Canis lupus familiaris: one gene and its partners. The protein of the gene in region 2 interacts with the protein of the main gene of each other region in a pairwise test. Links are inferred from orthologs where the notes say so. Each region holds a gene or a part of one and is shown on either strand. Other genes may lie near its edges. The genes, in order: ATF4, GOLGA1 and PDCL2.

Evidence for each region.
Region 1: the proteins of GOLGA1 (region 2) and ATF4 interact in binary tests that used the Homo sapiens proteins (3 or more experiments, as listed by UniProt). The two-hybrid records come from large-scale screens. The link is inferred for Canis lupus familiaris from reciprocal best matches to the Homo sapiens genes GOLGA1 and ATF4.
Region 3: the proteins of GOLGA1 (region 2) and PDCL2 interact in a two-hybrid assay, tested with the Homo sapiens proteins (2 studies listed by BioGRID). The two-hybrid records come from large-scale screens. The link is inferred for Canis lupus familiaris from reciprocal best matches to the Homo sapiens genes GOLGA1 and PDCL2.

Annotation. Positions count from the first base shown.
Region 1 is NC_049231.1:26,489,100-26,493,897, forward strand, and holds ATF4 (cyclic AMP-dependent transcription factor ATF-4), read right to left. Parts: upstream 3,269-4,798; 5' UTR 3,055-3,268; intron 2,447-3,054; 5' UTR 2,355-2,446; coding exon 2,129-2,354; intron 2,036-2,128; coding exon 1,209-2,035; 3' UTR 1,124-1,208; downstream 1-1,123. UniProt on the Homo sapiens protein: Transcription factor that binds the cAMP response element (CRE) (consensus: 5'-GTGACGT[AC][AG]-3') and displays two biological functions, as regulator of metabolic and redox processes under normal cellular conditions, and as master transcription factor during integrated stress response (ISR).
Region 2 is NC_049230.1:58,190,721-58,195,162, reverse strand, and holds part of GOLGA1 (golgin subfamily A member 1), read right to left. Parts: intron 4,369-4,442; coding exon 4,199-4,368; intron 3,303-4,198; coding exon 3,191-3,302; intron 1-3,190. UniProt on the Homo sapiens protein: Involved in vesicular trafficking at the Golgi apparatus level. Involved in endosome-to-Golgi trafficking. Mechanistically, captures transport vesicles arriving from endosomes via the protein TBC1D23.
Region 3 is NC_049234.1:48,597,587-48,601,548, forward strand, and holds part of PDCL2 (phosducin-like protein 2), read right to left. Parts: intron 1,154-3,962; coding exon 945-1,153; intron 1-944. UniProt on the Homo sapiens protein: Essential for male fertility, spermiogenesis and acrosome formation.

The DNA of each region.
Region 1 (4,798 bases), on a different chromosome or scaffold from region 2:
GAATAGAACTTGGTTTTCCTAACATTAACATGTATAGCTGAGTGGGTGCTTTTTTTTTTTTTCTTAAAGATTCTATTTACTCATGAGAGACACATAGAGCAGCAGAAACACAGGCAGAGGGAGAAGCAGGCTCCATGCAGGGAGCCCGACATGGGACTCGATCCCAAGTCTCCAGGATCACTCCCTGGCTGAAGGCAGGTGCTAAACTGCTGAGCCACTCCGGCTACCGGGATGCTGTTTTTCTAACCAGTAAATCCCCATATTTGGCTGGTTAACTGTTCAGCTTAAAGGCAGAGTATCTTGTGATATTTTAATACCGATTGGTAGACCCCGGTAAGATGTGGGAGGCTCTTGGCCTTGTGAGGAATCCTACAATCTTAAGGGAAGACGTCCACCCCCTCCAGCACCCCAGAGCAATGTTCCCATCAGGGTCACCGCTGCTTGCATCCCAACAGGGGGCTGGCTCTCCCACTTACTATGCTGGGCATTGGGAAGCAGATCAGGGAAACACAGGCCCACCTTGCAGACAGACCCTCACATGCCTTGTTTTCCAAGCTCTTCGAGGGGCCAAATGGGTGAAGAGCCATAGGTTCCTTCACATACCTACTTTCCCCAGAGGAAATGCCCCACAGGGTTACCCCAGGGACCAGGAGAAAGCACATAAAAAGCTCACACTACCTGGTGCCACACTGGGTGTCCCCATCGCCATTCCAATGAACGTCAAGACTGGCTCTTCCTGGAGAGCTAGCCCTGCACACCAATTGCAGCAAGGATTCCTCTGGTCAGATTGCCAGCCTTTGAGCCCAGCACTGGCTAAGAATTTCTGCATCTCTTTAAAACTCCTTTAACAGTCCATTCCAAGAAAAACCCAAAGACCTTTTCTTTGCAGTTCCAGGATTGAGTTTACAGAACTTGAGTTCAAAGTGGAATTTAACCTTGTATGCCCAGGTGGGGCCTTACCTGGGTACTCAAGACTAGTCAGTGTTATGGCTTATGAGGCCACAGCCTCACCCCCAGAGTCTCCTGTGGAGGCCCTGAGCCCAACAGGATTGAGCCAACTCCACTTGACTTGGTCACCATCACCAGGGTAGAGATTAAGACAAGAAACCAGGTACACACGAGCTCAAGTACTTTCACTACAAAATAATTTATTACAACACAGCTTCAGCGCAAGCCTATGTACAAGCACACATTCCTGACACCCCCAACTAGGGGACCCTTTTCTTCTCCCTGGCCTTTCTGACCTCCTCTATCAAATCTTTCAGATACTGGATCTCCTTAGCTAAAGAATCTGCCCTCTCCTTCAGAGCCTCGTTCTTCTTTTCCAGTTCTTTACACTCACCAGTGAGGGCTTCCTGCTCTGCCCTCTTCTTCTGGCGGTACCTAGTGGCTGCTGTCTTGTTCTGCTCCATTTTTTTCAGTTTCTTATCTAGTTTCTCAACCTTTACTTTTGCGGTCTTCTCTCCAGGAGGGTCATAGGGTTTGGGGCGGGCAGAACCACAGAGGGAACCTGGAGACAGCAGGCTCCTATTTGGAGAGCCCCTGGAGGTAGAGGGGCTATGCTGGGGGGACCCAAGATAGGACTCAGGACTCATACAGATGCCACTGTCATTATCTGAGGGGGCATCTTCCTCCTTTATGCACTGAGGGATCACGGTAATGTAAGCAGTAGAATCTGACTTTCTATCTCCTTCAGAGATATCCACTTCACTGCCTAGCTCTAAACTAAAAGAATGATCTGGAGTGGAGGACAGGGCCCCTGGGGAGAGTGGAAGTGGTTGCAGAAAGGTAAAGGGGGCAATCTGGTCTGTTTTTGGTAAACTTTCTGGGAGATGGCCAATTGGGTTCACGATCTGAGGGGGCTCCTTATTAGTCTCCTGGACTAGGGGGTCAAAGAGATCACACGTGTCATCCAACGTGGCCAAAAGCTCATCTGGCATGGTTTCCAGGTCATCTATACTGAACAGAGTGTCAAAATCAAACTCCTTCAGATCCATTTTCTCCACCATCCAATCTGTCCCGGAGAAGGCATCCTCTGCAAAAGAGTCAAGAAGGAACCCGAGAGGTCAGACGCACACTTCAGCAACAGCCCGGAGACCAGACCCGGCGGCCAACGACCCCCACTCACCCTTGCCGTTGTCTGAGGCACTGACCAACCCATCCAAAGCCAGCCATTCGGAGGAGCCCGCCTTAGCCTTGTCGCTGGAGAACCCATGAGGTTTGAAGTGCTTGGCCACCTCCAGGTAGTCGTCTAAGAGACCTAGGCTTTCCTCAGCCCCCAAACCCGACTGGTCGAAGGGGGACATCAAGTCCCCCACCAACACCTCGCTGCTCAGGAAACTCATCTCGGCCATGTCGCGGGACTTTACTGGAATCGAGGAATGTGCTTAATTCGAAGGTGTCTTTGTCGGTTACAGCAACGCTGCTGCTGGATGCCGTGAAAAGCCTGAAACGGAAGCAGAAACCGAAACCCCTTCGACATCGGCCGGTCCGGGAAGCTCATCCCTTCCTCCCGGGGGCAGGACGGCCAGACTGGAACTCCACTCGGGAGCAGAGGCTCGGGGACACGTGGCCCCGGGGCCATGGCTTCCACCTTCCCCGCGGCCCCGTCGGGCCGCCCAAGATGGACGCCCTCGGGGCCGGGCCGCTCCTCCCCCCGCCGCCGGAGGAGGCGCGCCCGGCTCATGTCCAAATACGGCCCAGGCCGCCCGGCCCCGCCCACGGCCGCCCGTGACTCACGCTGCGCCGCCGCCGCCCTGCCCGGCCGCCATCTTGGCCCCTGCCACGTTTCGCGGGGGGCCGGGCGGGAAGCCGTCGGGGGCCGCGGCCGGGGCCGGGGCCGCCGAGGGCTCGCTTCTCCCCGCCGGGCCGCACTCTCCTGACCCAGAAGCGTCGGCGTCTCGAGGACACCCAAACAGGGGCCACGCGTCCCGGGCGCTCGTAAAGCCGCTTCCCCCTACGCGGCACCGCCCCGCCCCGCCGCAGGCCGCGCCCAGGCGGGCCGACTGCCCTCGCCGACCCGGGGGAGCACGGCGCGGGCGGCCCCGTACTTACGCCATGGCTTAAGCCGCTGGGGGGTGCCGCTGCAGAGCCTGGTGCTGCTGCCGCCGCTGCAAAGGCCAATGCTGCCGCAGGCACTGCTGCCTCTAATACGCCATGGCGGCCGCGGACCCTGGGGGATTGGAGGAGGGAAGGCGCACGCTTGCCACAGGGATCTACATCTACAGGCGGGAGGAAGGGAAATGGCCGCGCCGCGCCGATCGAGGGTCCTTTATAGACTTTGCCTCTATGAGGACGCATCACACCGCACATCCTTCCGCCGCGGTCACGTGACCCGCGCCTCCCACCCACCCGTCTTCGCGATCCGACGCCCCTATCGTGTCCGACCAGCGACTTTTAGGTCCACGGCGTAGCTGTGAAGAGAAGAGTTGTTACTTCCAACGTCTCGAGAAAGGAAAAAGGCGCGCTACTTTGCAAGGCTACTAAGATCAAAGAGCCTCTCCTCCCTCTGCCGCCGGGAGCGCGGAGGGATTCCTCAGACACACCTCGCTTCCGGCGTCAGCCTGGGGGGCGGGGAGAGAAGTCTTTCACCTCAAGGAAGGTTTTTATTGTGAAGTCAGAGGCCGCCTGGTTATCGCGCGAGATGCTGGCGGAGAGCGAGCGTCGAGCTGATTGGTTAGACATGGTGAGTCATATATATCTCGGTTTCCTATTGGCTCAGACCCCGGGATGGGCGGGCCGCTCCGAGCGGGAGGCCGGGTCCGAGCGGGAAGGGGCGGAGCGGCCAGCGGGGTTCCCGCCGCCGGGCTGTGTCCTCCGTGGCCGCGTCTCGGTGAATCCGCTCTGTAGTGGCTTCTTGAGCCTGGCGTACGCGAGGCTGTCCGAGACGACCCTGGCTCCTCCCCCGGGCTTCTGGAGCCCGAGGAGTCCCAAACGGCGACATCAGGCCCTGGCCCCTGTGGTCCCTTCCTGCCACCCTCCGTCCAGCTCCGAATTAGAGACCCAAGTTCAGGCCCGAGATGAAACTAGGCAAAAGGAAGTGGAATTTCGGGTGCGTTTTCATCACACGCAAGCACCGAAGTAGCTGAAAGGGGAGACTGAGGGCCTCAGTCGGGTTCTAAACGCTCCCCACACACCGTCAGGGGCCAACGCCGCGTCCTTCCCGTGAACTCTCCAGTCCGGTCGGGAAGGTGCACAATCTAGCCCAGTTAGTGACTCTCGCATACCGGCCTGCCAAAACGTTTCTGTTAAAAGTATGCAGTCTATCACAGGGAACTTCTTTTGGTTTATACAGATGCAGTTCCCCTAAGAGATTTTGTTAAACTGGTATCTGTCCCTCTCCCAATTCTGCAACCTGGTGGGGGGAGAATCTTGAGCACCCACGCCCACTCACGGAGGTTTGGAGGTTCGTGTTTGGAAGCGGCGGTCCAGGTCAAGGCCTGCAACTTGCTCTCCACCGGAGAGCTGTGAAGAGTGCCGGGAAAGGTCTCCACTATCCTCCGTCTCCTTCAGGCCCCTGGAGGGCAGAAACCTTGGAGTTTCTGCCTCCGTTTTAGTGGGCCATAGAACTGTAGGAGGGCTGTGAGGTCAAAAATTGGGGGGGGGGGGGGGGGGGCGGACACTGTCCTTGATAACTACAGACCACTCACTAGCCAGCCCAACGATTTCTTTACAAGGTCAAACTGAGAACTAATGGGAGGTGTGTGGCCCAAAGCCACACAGCTGCCAGTGGAGGCATGGGTCAGGCCTCAGATTTTAGAAGCAAACCCCAAAGGATCCTGGCTCTGCTATTTAGTAG
Region 2 (4,442 bases):
TTGAATGAGTACTTCACAGAACAATAATGACCTATAAGCATGAAAGGACAGTAGCACTTTGTAGTAATCTGGGAAAAGCAAATTAGAATCATGCTGAAAGGGGACACCCAGGTGGCTAAGCAGCTGAGCATCTGCCTTGGGCTCAGGGCATGATCCCAGAGTTCCAGGATCGAGTCCCACATCGGGCTCCCTGCGAAGGGCATATGCCACTGTGGTATCTGTATGATACAGTACATCGCCTTACTAGCTTCTCCCTCTGCCTATGTCTCTGCCTTCTCTCTGTCTCTCATGAATAAATAAAATCTTTTAAAAAATGTTAGTATTTCATACTCTCTAGACTGGCAAAAAATAAATGCCTGATAATATCCCATGTTGTCAAGGAAGCAGAACAAACATGGCTGGTGGGACTGTGAATTACTACAACTACTAGGGAAAAAAAATGCTTGGCATTATGCCGAAAAGTTGAAAAAGTACAAATCTTTTTTTTTTTTTTTTTTTTTTGGGTGAGATTTTATTTTTAGGTAGTCTCTACACCTGATGTGGGGCTCAAACTCACAACCCTGAGATCAAGAGTTGCATGCTCCACCAACTGAGCCAGCCAGGCACACCTAACCTTTCCACATCTTAAATATACCCCAGAGTAACCTGCACGGGTAGAGGAATGTTCACAGTAGCCTTGTTCGTAATAGTAAAAGTCCAGAAACACCTCAATGTTGATGGTCAATACGATGAATAACTTTTGTTACTTCACACTATATAGTTGAGAAAAGAAAAAAAAATACAGCTGCATGTATACAAACGCATGTTTTTTGGGAATATAATGTTGAGCACAAAAAGTAAGTTTTAGAAGAATACCTATAGCATAATTTATATAATTTTTAACAAGCATGAGAAACAACAGAAGATACATACTATTTAGAGATAAAATAACAGTAAAATTATAAAGTGAAGAAAAAGGAAACAACAGTTTCTAGATTCCTTATAAAGGAAAAAGGAATGGGATGAACAGTGAATGGCACATGGGGAACTTCAAGTATAAATAGATTATTCTTTTCATCCTGGGGTTAACTACAAGGGGATCACTGCCTTGTTATACTCTCTACCCTACTTATATTTATAAATGTTACATTTATTCAATAACGATAAGGACAACAACAACAAAAAAAACCTGACTCCAAACTCATGTTCTTCATGATAAAACTGTTCAGCCTTTGATATTCTTAACCCAATGACCGACCCTATCAGCCACTCAGTTGCTATCAAGAAACTCAGAAACCATCACCAAAACTTCCTTTTCTCTTGCTTCCCTCCTACATCCATTACATTAGCGAGTGGGTCAGTCTCCTCATTATTTTGTAAATGTCTACTTCCCCCTTATCTTTACCACCACTCTTGTCAAAGCCACCATCTGATGCCAAGACAGGTATAAGAACTTCCTAACTGGAACCCCATCCAATGTTTCCCCTTATGCCAGTCCATTCTCTGTGTCTTCTCTTCCAGTTCCTTGAATGTGCTCATCCTTCTACTGCCTCAAGGTTTCTGGGTTTATGGTTCGTACTGTTCATTATTCCTTGCTTCAAATTCTCTCCCACTGTCTCTCCCCCTCCACAGCTCAAGTGTTCCTTCTTCAAGGGCTTTGTTCTCTGACTCCAAGGCTAGATCTAACCTGATGCCATTACAGGATCCTACAACATCCTGCAGTTTTCCTTCATGCATCATGGTTTGCAATAGTATATTTACATGATTATTGATTGATATCTGATTTTCCCTCTAGATTAGAAGTTCCGCAAAGGCAAGGGCAGTATCTGTTTTGCTCATCACAGTATTTTTAACACTGGGCAAAGAGTGCTGAGCCTGGCACATAGGAAGGCTTTGATCATATTTTTAGAATGAGTGAGGGAACGTATTAGTATAACCACAAGCTAGAAAATTAGTTTTTCCAATGATGACATGGTAAGTTAGATGGTTCTGATATCAAAGGGTCCCTTGAATCCCCAAATTTTGTGTATGTTATCTTCCCCCACCCTATGTGTTCTGTGTCCTGCTTTCTCCGCCTCCTGTTACTCTACCCATCTTTGAAATTCCAGTTCCTCCAGGAAGAGTTCCTTGACTCCTATGCTAGAAATACACTCTCTCCCTATGGCATATATTTTTCATTACAAAATCTATTTCACTTATTTAGGATTTGTTAAGAATGTGTTTTCTTGTGGTTAGGTTTGAGTTCTATAATGAAACTATAAGCCTCTGAGAAAACACTGTGTGTGTCTAGATCTTCACTGAGAGTAGAGACCTTGTATCAGAGTCATTCATATATGTGAGATCTATTTACTGGGTGACCCTTATTGGAAGGCAACACAGTCCAATAGGACAAGCATGAGTTTTGGAGTAAGACCTGGGCTAGAATCCAGCTTTGTCACTCACTGCTGAACTCTGAGTGAGGTATATAACCTCCATTTGGGCATCTATGTGTGTGCTAATACCTAGAAGGAAGGAGTATATAGATTTCTATTTACACAAATCTTAACTGTACTGTAATGATGTAGGAAGTCTCTGTTGCAGTTGAGATTAGCAGTTCTCAAGGGAAGAGGGTAGAGTTGGTGGTACCACCCACCAGGGGGTGTTTTTTCACATGATGGGAAGGGCTGGACTGTCAATGCCTGAAGGGTGCTACTGGCACTAAGAACCCAGGGGCCAGGAAAGCTAAATGTCCTGCAATGCAAGGGACAACTGTTCTATTCAAAATGGTGAGAAGAAACATGCCACTGAGAAACACTAGTCAATAATAATGTTTTATTCTTCTTTATAGTCTCAAAACTTAGCACAGGCCTATAATAGGAAGGCAATAAATGTATGTTGAACTGTAAGGATTATCATTTGGAATACACCAGATTAAGCCATATCAACCATGACTGTTCTTCTTATGCTCATGGTCCACCATGAAGTACTTAAGACAAACTGGAGTAGATCAAATGGTGTACTTTGAGACTTCCTGCCGGGACAATACTGACCTCTTCTGTTCAGCTGTGTGGCCACTTCCATCAGGATGTAGCGGGGCTACACCAGGAACTAGGGCCACATTGCATGAGAAGCAGAAGTTTCAGTAGCCACCCTGAGACAGAAATTTCTGCCAGATTTAGTTTCTACCCCATAAGCTCTAGCCACCTGGATCTACTCCTAGTACTCTACTTACCTTCTGTAAGTCCATGGAAAGCTGCTGAATGAATGCCTGGAGCTCTTGCTCCTTTTGCACCAGGGCCGAGATCTTATTTTCTGCACCTGTTTTTGAAGCTGTCACGTGATCTCTTCATTGAAAGAAAGTAGACAATAAGCACATTTGGAAATCTTATCTAAGAGACACTTCTACAGGAAAAAATACAGATGGTTCTTTATATGTCAGGGCTGCAAATGTTAGCCATGTGAAGACTATCAATGGAGAAGACTCCTTGGATCTTTCTGAAGTAGAAGCCAAAAAAGAAAAATTCCACCCAGGTTTAAGTAAAAAATCCTAATCTGCCTTGGTTATTTAATAACTTAGGAACAAAAACATACTGAATTGCTTGGCAGGTTTGGAAGCTGAGATTAGGCAGGTGAAGGGGAGTGAAGGTGTTGGGTGGTGGGAGTAGAGGGTCCCAAGCCCTGGGCCAGAACTCAGATCAGAAAGTGTTGCAAAGAGGGCAGCCCCGGTGGCACAGCAGTTTAGCGCTGCCTGTGGCCCAGGGCGTGATCCTGGAGACCTGGGATCAAGCCCCATGTCGGGCTCCCTGCATGGAGCCCACTTCTCTCTCGGCCTGTGTCTCTGCCTCTCTCTCTCTGTGTCTCTACGAATAAATAAATAAAATCTTTCAAAAAAAAAAAAAAAAAAAAAAAAAAGGGGATCCCTGGGTGGCTTAGCGGTTTGGCGCCTGCCTTTGGCCCAGGGCGTGATCCTGGAGTCCCGGGATGAAGTCCCACATCAGGCTCCCAGCATGAAGCCTGCTTCTCCCTCCTCCTGTGTCTCTGCCTCTCTCTCTCTCTCTATCATAAATAAATAAATAAATAAATAAATAAATAAATAATAAATAAATAAATAAATCTTAAAAAAAAAAAAAGAAAGAAAGAAAAAGAAAGTGCTGCAAAGAGCAGTGGGGAAAGGCAGGCAAGCTATAGCTAGGGCTACACTAACACCGCTTCCCATGGGCCCCACAGACCAAGCAAGAACCTCTGCTCTTCCAGCGCTGAGCAGTGTCTCTGCAATTCTTCCAACTTCTGGCTCAAGTCTGATAACATCTGACTGGAGGTCATCAACTCCTCCCGGGTGTGACTCAGTTCTCTGGTTCGTGCCTCCAACTCTTGCTCCGTTTTCCCCAGAGTTTCTTCTTTTTTTAAAAGCTGATACAAAGATATAAAGTTTCACTGGGCCACTATTAAGAAATACTCCTGAGACCTGTTTTTAAAAATACGGA
Region 3 (3,962 bases), on a different chromosome or scaffold from region 2:
GGACCAGATAACACAATATTCATGATCATGATTGCCTGCTGAGAGATAGGAAGGGGAATGGGACTAGGAAGAAAATATAGGTAACTTTAACTATATCTGTAATGTTTATTTGAACAACAAACAAATAGCTCAAGCAAACATGAAGAAATGTTCACATTTGTTATTTTCGACAGTAATCGATTACATAAATGTTTGCTATATTATTATTTGTACTCTTGCGTATTAATTTGTTTAATTAAAAGGATGAGGCTCAATGGCTTTAACATGGTGTGAGAAAAAGATTTTAATAATATAGATTAAAGCAGTTCCAAGAAATGACTAGATATGGCCTTGGAAGGAGGTCAGGAAATAAAAATTACTAAAGAAATTAAAATTATAAAGTGCTGTGCTACATACTGTGAAAAAGAAAATAAAGGGAATTAATTAACTGATAAAATCAGATAGTATGTGGATAAGTGAAAAATAAATTTTATAGAGAAAATATGCTACAGAAATTTAGGAGAGAAGAGGAAGATTATGAATTGGTCCAAAGTCACGTAATTAGAGAAATGGAAACCTAGGAGAACCACAAAGGAACAGGATATGGAGGAACAATAAAGAATGGTAGGGTATTTAGGGTCCAGGGCATGAGTATGAGACCAAGAATAAAGGCACAAATGAGTAAGATGTCTCTGCAGTAATACAGTTGGATCGGTAGGCTGAAATTCTTAAGCAGAAGATTCTGTATTTTTAACTTATTTGACCACAAGGAACCTTTAAGGATTTAAGCAAGTAGATGTTGTAAGAAGCATATTACTATAGGAAAATTAATCGGGAGGCCTACAAGAAGAGATTAGAAGGGAGGGAAAATACCTTATGTTTTATGGAGATAAACTTTCACGATATTTGTAAATTTTTGGAAGTTTTCACCTGTTTAATAAACATTTTTAAAATAGTATTATTACCTTCTAGCTTGAGATTTATCCCTCCACATTCTATAATTCCAATGAATTTGCCTTCTATCTGACCGTTTTTATAAACAAAAATTGTTGGTAGACAATTGTCATGGTAGTGTTGAATACAGCTGTTCACGATGGCTTTAACAAACTTAGTTTCCGGAAACTTTCTTGCTAGGAGACTAAGATGCTGGTTAACCAACAAACACATTGGGATGCTAAAAAGAGAAACAGTACACAACATCTTTAAAAACACACTACTTCTCTCTAATGAACTAAGTGAAATATCTACATGACAAAAATACATCTTTAGATATTCTTTTTTTAATTAATTAATGGGGGGGCTAAGTAGGGGGAGGGGCAGAGAAAGAGCATCTTCAAGCCAACTCCCAGCTGAGCACAGAGCCCTATCCCAGGACCCATGAGACCAAGACCTGGGTAGAAACCAAGAGTCAGTACTTAACCTACTAAGCCACCCAGGTTCACCTCTTTGGATATTCTTTTAATATAACAGCATATAAACTCTTATCTTCTCTTTTTACTTTTAGTAATGATAAACTGCAGAGCCCTACCATATTTATTGTAAACACAATTATAGCCTGGGAGTGAAGCTTGCTACCATGGGAATTTGATGCATAACTAAGGCTAACCACATCTGACTTAGCATCAATTTAATCAAGTTAGTTCCTAGTTTACAGGACTAAGGGAAAACAAAACAAGACAGGACACTTCTAGGGAATCCTTAGTAGTTCTGAGTTGAAACAAAGGATTCCAACTCTTTTCACCACCTTGGGCTTATTTTTACATGAGATTATGACATCCAAAGTGTCTTATCTCAAATTTCTTTCTTTTTTTTAATCTAAAATTTCCTTGAATTTCTTGACCTCATCCACACTTTTCTTTGACATCCCACTCCATGAAGCATCCTATTTCCCATTATCTAGAACTATTCGCTATCAGATCTTTAAGGGGCACCTGGTTGGCTCAGTTGGAAGAACATGCAACTCTTGATCTTGGGATCATGAATTCAAACCTCATGTTGGGTAGAGAGATTAATAAATTTTTTAAAAATTGATTGGAAGTGTGACCAGAACCTGCAATTCTTCCTGCTATCATTTGACTCCCAATATACCCACTCTTCAATTAGTCCCTTTTCTCTCTCACTCATTCACAGTCTTATCAAACTGTTTCAGAGCCAATCCTTTACTTTATCCCATACACATTTCCCATGGGACCTTTCTCTGCTTGTTATTTTGCTCTCCCTCTTGTTTCCTCCACTTTCTATAAATATACTTAAGTTACTAAATTTTTAAGAGTTACTTACAACTCTATGTCTCCTTCAAATAACCACTCTCTCTTGTTCATAGCCCCAAAAGAAAGGAAAATAATAATCTCTATGTTCTGTTCACTTCCTTTCTTGAAAGGTTTTCCCTTTTATTGGCTTTTGTGATAACACTTTTTTCCCCAGGGGAAAAAAAAAAAAAAAGGTGGTTTTATTAAAGCACGGGGATAGGACCCGTGGGCAAGAAGAGCTGCTGTGATAACACTTTCTATTAATTTCCTTTTTACTTCTTTGACTTCCTTCTTCTGTCTATGACTCAAATGTGGATGTTCTTTGTGATTGTGTCCTGGACTCTCTTATACTGGACACATTTCACTGTGCCATCTTATCCATTCTGATATAAACACTGATGAACTAAAAAAACAAAACAAAACAAAACAAAAAACACTGATGAACTTCATGTCCCCACCTCCCTTAAAGAAAAAAAAGTATATATGTATATATTATACATTTCTTCTGTATTTTCTTAGTTTGGCACAGAGGCCAGAAATCTCCCTTTTCTCTACATCTAATCGGTAATCAAATCATGTTGCTCCTACTTCCTTATCTCATACCTAACTAACCTCTCCTCTTTTTCTCCATTATCTTACTCCTTTCCTTTCTCAACTGAGCTCCATCAGATTGTCCTAAATGACCTGTTTCCAGTCTTAGTTTCCCAAATTCATCCTTGACCCTTGCTGACAAAGGGAGCTCAGCATGAAAATCTCACCATGTAACAACTGCCCTGCTCTCAAGCTTAAAGTCCCTCCCTAAGTGGCTTTTCACAGTCTTTGGGATAAAGTCTGGGCTCCTCTGTGTAGCTTTCAAGGTTCTCTGTGGTCTCTTTGTCTGCTACCACATTACTTAAAGCAAGATGCTGTCTTATTTCTGTAATCTTTCTTTAAGCTGTACACTCTAACACATCCCACCTCATCCTGTCTACTTCCTCTTTGGGGAATCTTATTTTTTGAGGCCAAGACCAGGAATTACATACTCTGTAGAAAGTTCCAGACTTCCTTCCTCCAAGGATAAAACGGACTACCCCTTCTTCAGGACTATATAAAATTCAACTCTAGCACCTAAAAGACTGTATTGTTATGTTTAATCTATAGCAGAAAGGGTCTCTCTCTGCTATAGTGATGGCTTTGTATCTCCACCATCTACAAAATCTTCAGAAATCCTCTTAATACTAGATGATGTTATATATCAATTTATGGTGGAAGAAACTAAGAAAAACTAATTAAATGCATTATACGTTTAACTTACATTTCAAAATATAGAATGCCATTTATTTTGATAACTACAACCTGCTACAAATCTAGAGTCTGTTTTATTTTAGTGGGTGACCTATTGTAATATTAGAAAAGCATGAGCCACCTAACATAAATATCAATTTTCCACACAAAGCAACAATGTAAATTGCCTTTGTAAGTTTCAGTTTTCCTCAAATAGGTAAAATGAATCCACTAATACCTAATTTAATGGAATTGCATCATTACTGTCAGAAGGAGAGCTAGATCAGTGGTAATGACAGACACTTATGGGGTAGATGGGGTGAATGGCAGGTAGGTGGACATTGGTGGTGATAGTGAAAAGTGTAGAGTTAAGAGAGTGTGGTGTAACAGATTATGTGCAGGGAGAAGATAGTTTGCCTGAAAACAATTTTGACAGCAAGCGGTAAGGGAACACATTTAGTAAGGGGCTCA